Linked DNA regions of Macaca fascicularis. The protein of the gene in region 1 purifies or fractionates together with the protein of each later gene. This does not show direct contact. Links are inferred from orthologs where the notes say so. Each region holds a gene or a part of one and is shown in the gene's direction. Other genes may lie near its edges.

Region 1 (4,233 bases):
ACCCTTACCGTGCGGGGTACCGTTCCTGTCACCATCGCCAGGATCAGGCTGGCCCTTACAGTGAAAGGAAATCTTCCAAGGCCTAAGGAGGCAAGAGGCCTTCAAGTCGCCTCCTGCTCAGCAAAGGGGTTGCTCAGCAGGCCGGGGTTCCTGGTCCACCCCAGGTCCCTGGTTTGCCCACCTCCGATGGCGGCCTTCGCTGGCAGTGTGGGCGCCTCTGGGGAGCCAGCTCCATCTCAGCGCCTTTAGAACCTCATCTCTTCCACGTCCCCGGCCTTCCTCCCCTTCCAGGCTGCTGTCCCTGCCGGGGTCCAGATAGTGTCCGAGGGCCGGCGGTTCGACGGCGGGCCCGGGGTTCAGCCTCCCGGCCTCCCTCGTCCCCGACTCTCCTTTCTTCCGAGAGGGCGCGGGGTCCGGGGCCAAAGCGCCGCTCTTGGGATTCTCCTGGACTCGGAGGTGCCCCAGGCGGGCGCAGCTCTGCCCCGCGGGGTGCCAGCCTCGGCGGGCAAGGTCCGTGAGTCACCGCCTGTAACCCAACACCAGGCCTCCCTGCCCCCTCCCCCAGCTCCGGCCGCCAGGCCGCGGCGACACCTACAAGAAAATGAAGGGGCGCCTGGGCCCGCGGCGCCCCCGGCCGGATGGCGAGCAGGTCCCGGCGGCCCCCGGCTCGCGGCGCTCTAGCTTCCCTGGCCCCGGGGCTCGGTCAGCCGCAACCGCCGTCCCGGCGCGAGCAGGAATCCAGGCCGAGCGGCCGGAGCCGGAGCCCCGAGGCGGCGGAGGGCCCGCGATAGCTGCGACTGGCGAGCCCTAGAGCGCCCGGGGAGGGGGCGCCCAGCTTGGAATTTCCCGGTCCCCTCCGGCCCAGCGAGGACCAAGCCCCCCTGGCCGCCGCCGCCGCCGCCGTGGCCTACGCCGCGCCGCACAAAGAGCGAGTCGCGACACGCTCCCATCCCCCTCCCAGCTCACGGCGGCCCCGGCCCGGGGTGGCTGCAGGGAGGTGGGGGAAGCCCTAGCTGCACCGCCCCTCGCTCCCCCTCCCCCGGGGCAGCGCGAGCGCCGTCCCCGCCCCCGCCCCCGCCCCGTCTGCGCGTCCTCCAGGGGAGGGGTTGGGGGGCGCGGCGCCCCACATAACACTCCCCCTCCTGCGCTCCGAGCCACCCTCTCCCCTCCTTCCTGCAAACACCACCGCCTCCCCTGCCACCGCCGCCACCTCGCCCGAAGCTCCACAGTTCGCCGCGGCCGGGGGGCGGTGCGCGGACCGTGCGCGCCGCGGGCGCCAGATGTGCAGTCCCCGCCGCCGCCAGTGACCGAGCCGCAGCCCGAGCAGTATCGGGCCGCCTCCCTGATGCTGCGGGGGCGACCTTGAGCGTACCGCGGCTTCCCTTAGTGGGGACCACGACAACCCAGCGCTGTGCCCGGTGTTGCCCTCTGCAGCCCGGCTCGCCCCGCGCTTGGACATGGAAGGGGCCGCCGCGCCCGTGGCGGGGGACCGCCCCGACTTGGGGCTGGGGGCGCCGGGCTCTCCTCGAGAGGCGGTGGCGGGGGCAACTGCTGCCCCCGCGGCGGCGGCCGCCCCGGAGCCCAGGAAGCCTCACGGGGTGAAGCGGCATCACCACAAGCACAACTTGAAGCACCGCTACGAGCTGCAGGAGACCCTGGGCAAAGGCACCTACGGCAAAGTCAAGAGGGCCACCGAGAGGTTTTCGGGCCGAGTGGTGAGTGGGTCAATCCTGGAGGGTGCGGGGGAAGCTGGCTGGACGGGCTGGGGACCGATGGCGTGGGAGGCGGGGATCTGTGCGCCCTAGGGCTCTCTTGACAGAGAGGGGGCTCATTGGGAAGCCCCGAGACAGACTCCTCACTCTTTCCCTAGCACCCCGTGACTCAGGCGTGTCTCTGTCCTGAAACACTTGTTACATCCTGTCTGCACATATTTTATTTTATTTTTTGGTTTGTTTTAAAAAATTTAATCCCAGCAGCAAAGGAATGTTTTAGATTTGCAAACATTTTGCAGCGTTGGGACGGCCGGGGTCTCCCTCGCAGGCACACATTCAGACCATGCCCCGAAATGCCTTATTTCCACAACTCTCCAAATAACCACATTCCCAGCTAGGAGCTAGCCCCTCAAGTCCCGTGTTTTTAGCCCCTCAAGTCCCGTGTTTTGTAGGTGTCCCTACCCCCTTGCACCCATCTGCCCGCAGCCCCTTGCTCTGCATCCTCCCACTCAGACTCTGCATTGCCCTGATGATGCTGTGGCTGCAAGGGAGGGCGACTCCTGCCTGTTTTTGAGACAAGGTTAGGGAGCAAAAATAAAGACTACTGCAAGTCTGAGGATTCTAACAGTTTGCATTGTGGCTTTGGGAGGAGTGAAATGTCCAAGGCATGTGTAGCTACACAGATAGCTGTGCTTAGTTGCAGCCGGCTCAATTGCGTTTCAGCTCCTGGTTGCAGGGCTACCAAACTGCTGAAGGGGTCTGGCCCCGCTGCTCTTGTGACAGCTGACACCCTGCCAGGGTCCTGGCACCATTTGCACAGCTACAAGAAGTGCTTTGAGTGCCTTGGGGTCTGTCTGCCTTGTCCCAGCCTTGGTTTGTTGTTATTTTCACTTCTGCAGAACAGGCCCTTGAAATCCACACTGCTTGTGGCTAGAGAGTTGGGTTCAAAGTGACTGACTGTTGCAGAAAGATTTTGTGTGGTGTGTGGCAGAAAATTAACATGGTTCTTTGATTTGAAACAGATCAGATGTATTTTAATCGATTTAGGGCCAAAGTCAGAAACTAGTTATGGGGCTTCTTGTGTGCACTTTTGGGAGTGTTTTGGGGGCTCAGGGTTGCTTATAAACAACAAATGACTGCAGGAAAAAAGGAAAATGAGCTGTCAAATAGCAGCTTAATATTGACATGTTTCTTTTGCATTTGGGCAGGGACAGTTCTGTGAAAAAAATGGGGGTGCCAAGTCAGCAAAGTTCAGTCCCCAAATTCTCAAATATCTGGATATCTGGATAATGTCCTCCCAACCCATTTCTCAGATTCGGTGTTTGAGTCTATATAACTTCATCCCATAACGTTATTTAAAAAAAAAAATCTGTTATCAATTAATTGGAAATTTGAGATGTACATTTCTTTTTAAAGCTAGCTCTGTAATAAATTCTACAGCAAGCAAGTAGTTGAGAATTCACTCTGGGCAGGTGCCATTTTTGTAGGATGAAATTGTTACAGGGGCGGGTTGTAGGGGTGGCCTCTGATGAAGGCATTTTCAGGTTTGTGGAAGAAGAGGCTGGGACATGTGCGCTTCATTCATGCTTTTCTTCTGAGGTGATATTCCCCAGGCTGGATGTTGAATAAGCAAAAACTAAGCTTAGCTCCCTGCTCATGTTGTCTTAATAGCTGCTGAAGAATCGCACTGGGAAGGTGGGAAGCAGAATAATGAAAAACAGACGCAGTTCGAGTTGCAGGTTGAGAATGTGAGACTATGAGGGGTTGTTGAAGTGGTAAGGGTGTGCCTGGGGTCTGTGAAGGGACCCCAAAGTCTAAATGCTGGGGCACTGCCTCAGACCCTTCTAAAGAACGAACCCTTGTCTTATGGCAGATGCCTTTCTGAGCGTCAGTGGGACTTCCTGTCAGGCGTTCTTCGAACTGCCTGATCCACAGACTAGGTTAGAGTGAAAGGCATTTGCATCAGTAGGCAGCAGTCCGCCTTTCTCTTTGGGGGATGTCTTTCTCTTATTTGCAGAAACTGAACATTCCGTCAGGATTTAGTCAAGAGGCCGCGAGGGGGCGCCCTGAGAACGAGAGAGGCTTCTTTACCAGCCACAGGTCTGAAGTCCCGCTGTGTTATTGTTCAACCCTAGTTCAGTTTCCCATTGTGCTATTAATTTCAGCTAAATCACTAGTTTTACCCCAAAATTATATAAAGATTTTAAATCTGGCATCAGACCCACGCCCAGAAACTGGCAGTCTCTAAAATGCTTCATTTATTCACGGGGCTGCTTTCTCCTTGATAGCTAAGCTTATAGAATGTTAGCCAGATCCCTGGGTGAAAACCTTGCATAAAACAGATGGGAAAACTGAGGTTTGGGGAAGGGAAGTCCTCCTTGGCCCCCCTGTCCTCCCCCTGCCGAGCACACTGCTCACGGATGGTGTTAAGAACTTAAGTGAGAAACAGGAATTGTCAAGTGGAGAATTTCCTGTGACTGGCTGAACAGAAAATAACACCAAACACACAAGAAATTGGTCA
Region 2 (4,587 bases), on another chromosome or scaffold:
TTGCATTTCTTTTGTTAAATAGATTTTTAACTTTATTGATTTTGATGCTATTGTAATGGAATTTTAACTTAATTTTCAGATTGTTTATTGCTAGTGTGTAAAACTATAACTGATGTTTAAATATTGATCTTATATCCTGCAGTTTCCAGAACTTGCTTATTGGCTTTATTAGGTTTTTTTTATAGTGGATTTCCCAAGATTTTCTATATATAAAATCATGTCATGTGAAAGTAGCGATAGTTTAATTGTTCCTTTCTTATCTGGATGTCTTTCATTTCTTTTTCAGGCTAGAACTGCAAGTACAATATTGAACAGAATTGGTGAGAGGGGACAATCCTTGTTAAAGGTGCACTTTTGATAGGGTTAAAAGACCAGTGTTCAACACTTTCCAATCCTGACCTTGGGCAAATCATTTACCCTTTCTGTTTCCTTATCTAAAATCGAAGATAACAGCCTACAGTGTACACGGGTGGTCGTGTCTACTTTTTAGAAGCCCATGAGCTAGTGGGTAAGCAAATGATTCATGGAAATAATTACAAAAACAAGGTAACATATGCTAAGAGTTATTAGGGCTATGAATGATGTATCTTGGATACCCTATTAGGTAATTTTGTGGTGAAAAATTTGTAAACAATCTAGTGCTAAATAGAGAAATGGTTTAAAAATTTAAGATACCAATAACTTGCTTTCACTGTCACCTAAATTAGTTTGGTTCCATTTTTAACAGTCTTTTATTACAAACTGATATAATCATAGCATAACTAAATTCAACCCTGTTCTCTATAAAATCTCGTTTTGTAAGGTTTTACTATGATTTTGCATGCCATTTGATGTCCACAGGTAGTTTTAAGTCAAAAGGAAATCTGTAAATTAGGAACTGTTAATTTCCTCTTCATTTGGGCATCCTAGGCAGACTGTATAGAATTGTTCCAAGCACCCCATTAATTTGAGATTAGCCTAAGTTTTTCCTACGCCTGCACTTTGGAATATAAACATGTAGAAAATAGTCCATGACACAGCGGATGGGTTCATAAGTTTCTTCCGGGTTCTAACACCGAATCGTGCTGATGATCTGGCAATGGAGGCTAATCTTGCCATATCAAGTACGGCCTATTCGCTAAGCCGTCTGGGGTACTTTATAATTTTTTTCTTTCCTGGTCTGTTTGAAGGGCTCCTATAGCCAACAAGGTTGTCAGTCCCGTCAGTTACGCTGTGAGGACGCCTAAACGCTTTCAAGTACTGATGCTGCGCGATCGTGTGAAAGTGTTTCCCAGAGCACCTCCCTCGCGGGGTGGGGAAAAGGACCTCACTCCCCACGCCCCCTCCTTCCGCTGCAGGAGATAGCCACACCTTCCCCCTATCGGCGCCAAGCAGGTGGCCAGGCCCTCGGGACCTCGCGCCCCCGCAGCCCAGTGGCCCGGCCAGCTCGTGCGTCACGTGACGCGGGTCAGCTGCGCCGCCGGGACCTCCAGGCACCGCGGCGGCGACAGCCCAGCGCGTGGTCTCGGGATCTCATCTTTCCGCGCCCCTCCCCCCACGATCCCGGAAAAGGGGGAGGCCGGTGACGTCATCATCCGGGTTCTTGTCGGTGGGGCCACGGTTCACAATGGAACAAAAACAAGCGGCCAGAGTCAAACTATGAGCGACGCGGCTGCGGCTCACGCGATTAACCCCGTCGTGACCGCACACCCCGCCAGTCCCTGCCGCCCAGCCCCTCCGGCGTGGTGTGCCAGATCTTTTCGGGCCTCCCTTCCCCAACTTCGGTCCTAGAGCCACCTCTGCCCTCGTCCCGCTCCTGAGCCGAGGGGCATGGAACAGGATTTCTGGCGGTAGCACGACCCTGAAGGGGCCAGCCGGAAGAAACGGTACTGCGCGAACAATCTTTACCGCATTGTCTTCCCCTCCCCCACCCTAGCTCTCCGGGTTCCCAGCGGCTCGCGCCCAAGCCCGGCCCCCTCGGCGGCTCGCGCTGCTCTCCCAGCCTTGACGGTCCGGGGTGGAGGCGGGAGAAGAGGGGGCAGCTGAGCGGGAGGGGGCTGGGCAGGAGCAGGGGGAGGCCCGAAAGGAGGGGCCTGAGAGGGGCGGGGTCTGACGGGGGCGGAGAACTTCGGGTCTTGGGCGGCTCTGGGGCTAGTGGGAGTCTGCGCCGCCGCCGCCACCGCTGCTGCCGCCGCCGTCGCCGCTACCGCCGCCGCCACTGGCCGAGCGGTTTTTTTTTTTTTTTTGGTTTGCCGGATCCGCCATATTGACGAGGACGGGCATCCGCGGCTGCGGACGCTAGTCTCCGCCGCCGCCGGAGCCGCAACCTCTCCGCACCCGGCCCCGTCAGGGCCTCTGCCGCGCCGAGCCCCTCCCCGCCTTGCATAGCTCCCGGGCCTCGCGGGAGCCCTCCGCCGCCGCCTCTCTCTCGCGGGAGGCGGCCGCCTTAGCGCCCGGTGCTTGGGTCGGCGCCGGGAGCTAGGAGAGAGCTGCTGCAAAGCCACCAGGCCCGGAACGGGGACAGAGGCGGCGACTAGGGGAAGGTGAAGCCGTCGCTGCAGGAGGAGGAGCAGGAGGAGGTGACGCAGGAGAAACGCACCGCCCGGAGCCCGTCTGAGCTCAGCGAGAGCCCCAGCCTGAGGGGAGAAGGGGGAAGAGGGCCGTAGCCGGCCAAGGAGGAGGAGGAGGCGGGCGCGGCGAGAAGCGAGTTCCGGCGCCGGGCGTGCAGCCTTTTGGTTGAGACGCCCTCAGCCCCGAGCCCGGCCGCCGCAGCCTTTCAATACACTTTGTTGCCGGTCACCCACGGGCCTGGGATGCACCCAGGGTAGGTCTTGTCCCGAGACCGAGCCCCAGCGTCGCCTGCTGCCTCCCGCCTCCACGTGCCCTGGTTCTGAGAAGACGTCTGTGTCGTGCGGTGAGTGGCCAGCTGCACCGGGGCGACGCGCCTTCCCGGGGCCAACAGCTGGATGTGGGTGAGGGGAGGAGGGCGAGGGGGGTGTGCGTGTGTGTGAGCTTCTTCCCTCGGCGGCTGCCGGCCGGGCCGGGGCTTCCCCGTTCCCCCTCCTCCGGCCCGGGCTGGGCGGGCGCGCGGGGCCGTGTTGTGTGTGGAGCCGGTGTCCCGAGAGCGTGTCTTGTGTGTTTTGGACTGTAAGGGAAAATGGCTGACGGCTCCGTCCCTCCCCCTCCTCCCCCTTCCCGTCCTGTCTGGGGCCGAGTAGGAGGATGGAGTCTCCGGGCGTGGCGGGCAGCCCCCCCGCCGTCCGCACCCGGGGCCCGGGTCGGTTTGGGGGCTGGCCGCCCCCGGCCCGGCGGCCGCTTTCCTGCCCGGTCTGGTTCCACTTGACACCAAACGCCATTACTGAGGTGGAGTGATTTGGAGTCGGGGAGCTAGGCCTCGGCTACGCCTGGCTATCAGGCCTGACGACTTGTCCGCCTCCCCCCACCCTCCCGCGATAACCCGCAGTTTCTCCCCGGCCCTGGGCTCCTGGAGTCGGAGCTGGGTTATCGGCCTCCTACACTTCCTTAACCCCGCTTAATTTGCAGAGGGCCAAAGCCGTGAAAGGGGTTTTTGAGTGCAGAAATCGCTTCCAAGCTAGCTTGGACCTATTATCTTTCTATTTTTAACTGTTTCTGCAAATATTAGCATGTGCGAGTTTATTAGTGATCAGATCTTCAGATTCTTGTGACGTGAGGCTTAGGGTTGGATAAATGGCTGATTTTTCATTCATTGTGAAATAAGTTAAAGAGTTATAGAGCAGGTGTATAGATGGCTTCTTCAATTATTTGTGTGGATTTCTGTAGCGACTACAACTTACACGAGAATTTGCAAAATTTCTAGTAGAACCTGCTTAAATTAAGCATGTTATTTTTTGGAAGTTCCATAGTTATAACGTTAATTGAATTTACACGGTGCAGTTTACAGGTGTATATAATTGTTTCAGATTGTCTTTTAGTTTAAGCAAGTTGTAGGTATAGATTATTCATACTTTATTTTTCGGCGAGAGAAGTGTGTGTGCCGCTCTTTTACCTGGAAACCCATGAGTCCCTGAATCTACCTAACGTATGTATACTTTCACTTTTGAGGGGAATAATTTGGGGTGCATTGATTAGGAAACTTTCCAGCAGGTACTTAACCCTCTCGGAGCTAATTACCCTTAGGTAACTCCTTCACCATGACTAGCTTGGCTGGTTAGTACACTTGAACTTAAAAATAGAGACTACAAACTCTCCTTTAGATCTCGCTGGTCTTCTAATTCGCTGGGCTGCCATTTTGGTTTCAGCAAATGCCTTCAAATTCTTGAAGAATTATATATTAAATATAAAAAATGTCAACATTCTTTTTCTCAATTTTTAAACTAATGTGCTGTGTCATACATCTAACTTTAACCCTTTAAACTTTATCGTTCCAGCGTTTGGGTGGAGTGAAAGCTTGAAGTATTTGGAATTGGTGTTCCACAGGTGAACTCAAAATGTCTTTGGTATTTTACTGTTTTGTTTTCTCTAATTTAAAAATAGGACATTTGGACTATATTAATTATCTCTACCGCTTTTCTTGTATTTTTTTTTTTTTTTTTTTTGCATGAACGTGTAACTTGTAATTCTGGTTAT

What was found.
Region 2: the proteins of NUAK1 (region 1) and USP9X purify together in Homo sapiens (affinity purification with mass spectrometry; 4 studies listed by BioGRID and IntAct, with this or other methods). This does not show direct contact. The link is inferred for Macaca fascicularis from reciprocal best matches to the Homo sapiens genes NUAK1 and USP9X.

The regions. Positions count from the first base shown.
Region 1 is NC_088385.1:113,054,768-113,059,000, reverse strand, and holds the start of NUAK1 (NUAK family SNF1-like kinase 1), read left to right. Parts: upstream 1-1,153; 5' UTR 1,154-1,457; coding exon 1,458-1,715; intron 1,716-4,233. UniProt on the Homo sapiens protein: Serine/threonine-protein kinase involved in various processes such as cell adhesion, regulation of cell ploidy and senescence, cell proliferation and tumor progression. Phosphorylates ATM, CASP6, LATS1, PPP1R12A and p53/TP53.
Region 2 is NC_088395.1:41,066,903-41,071,489, forward strand, and holds the start of USP9X (ubiquitin carboxyl-terminal hydrolase 9X), read left to right. Parts: upstream 1-1,584; 5' UTR 1,585-1,865; intron 1,866-2,132; exon of another isoform or gene 2,133-2,893; intron 2,894-4,587.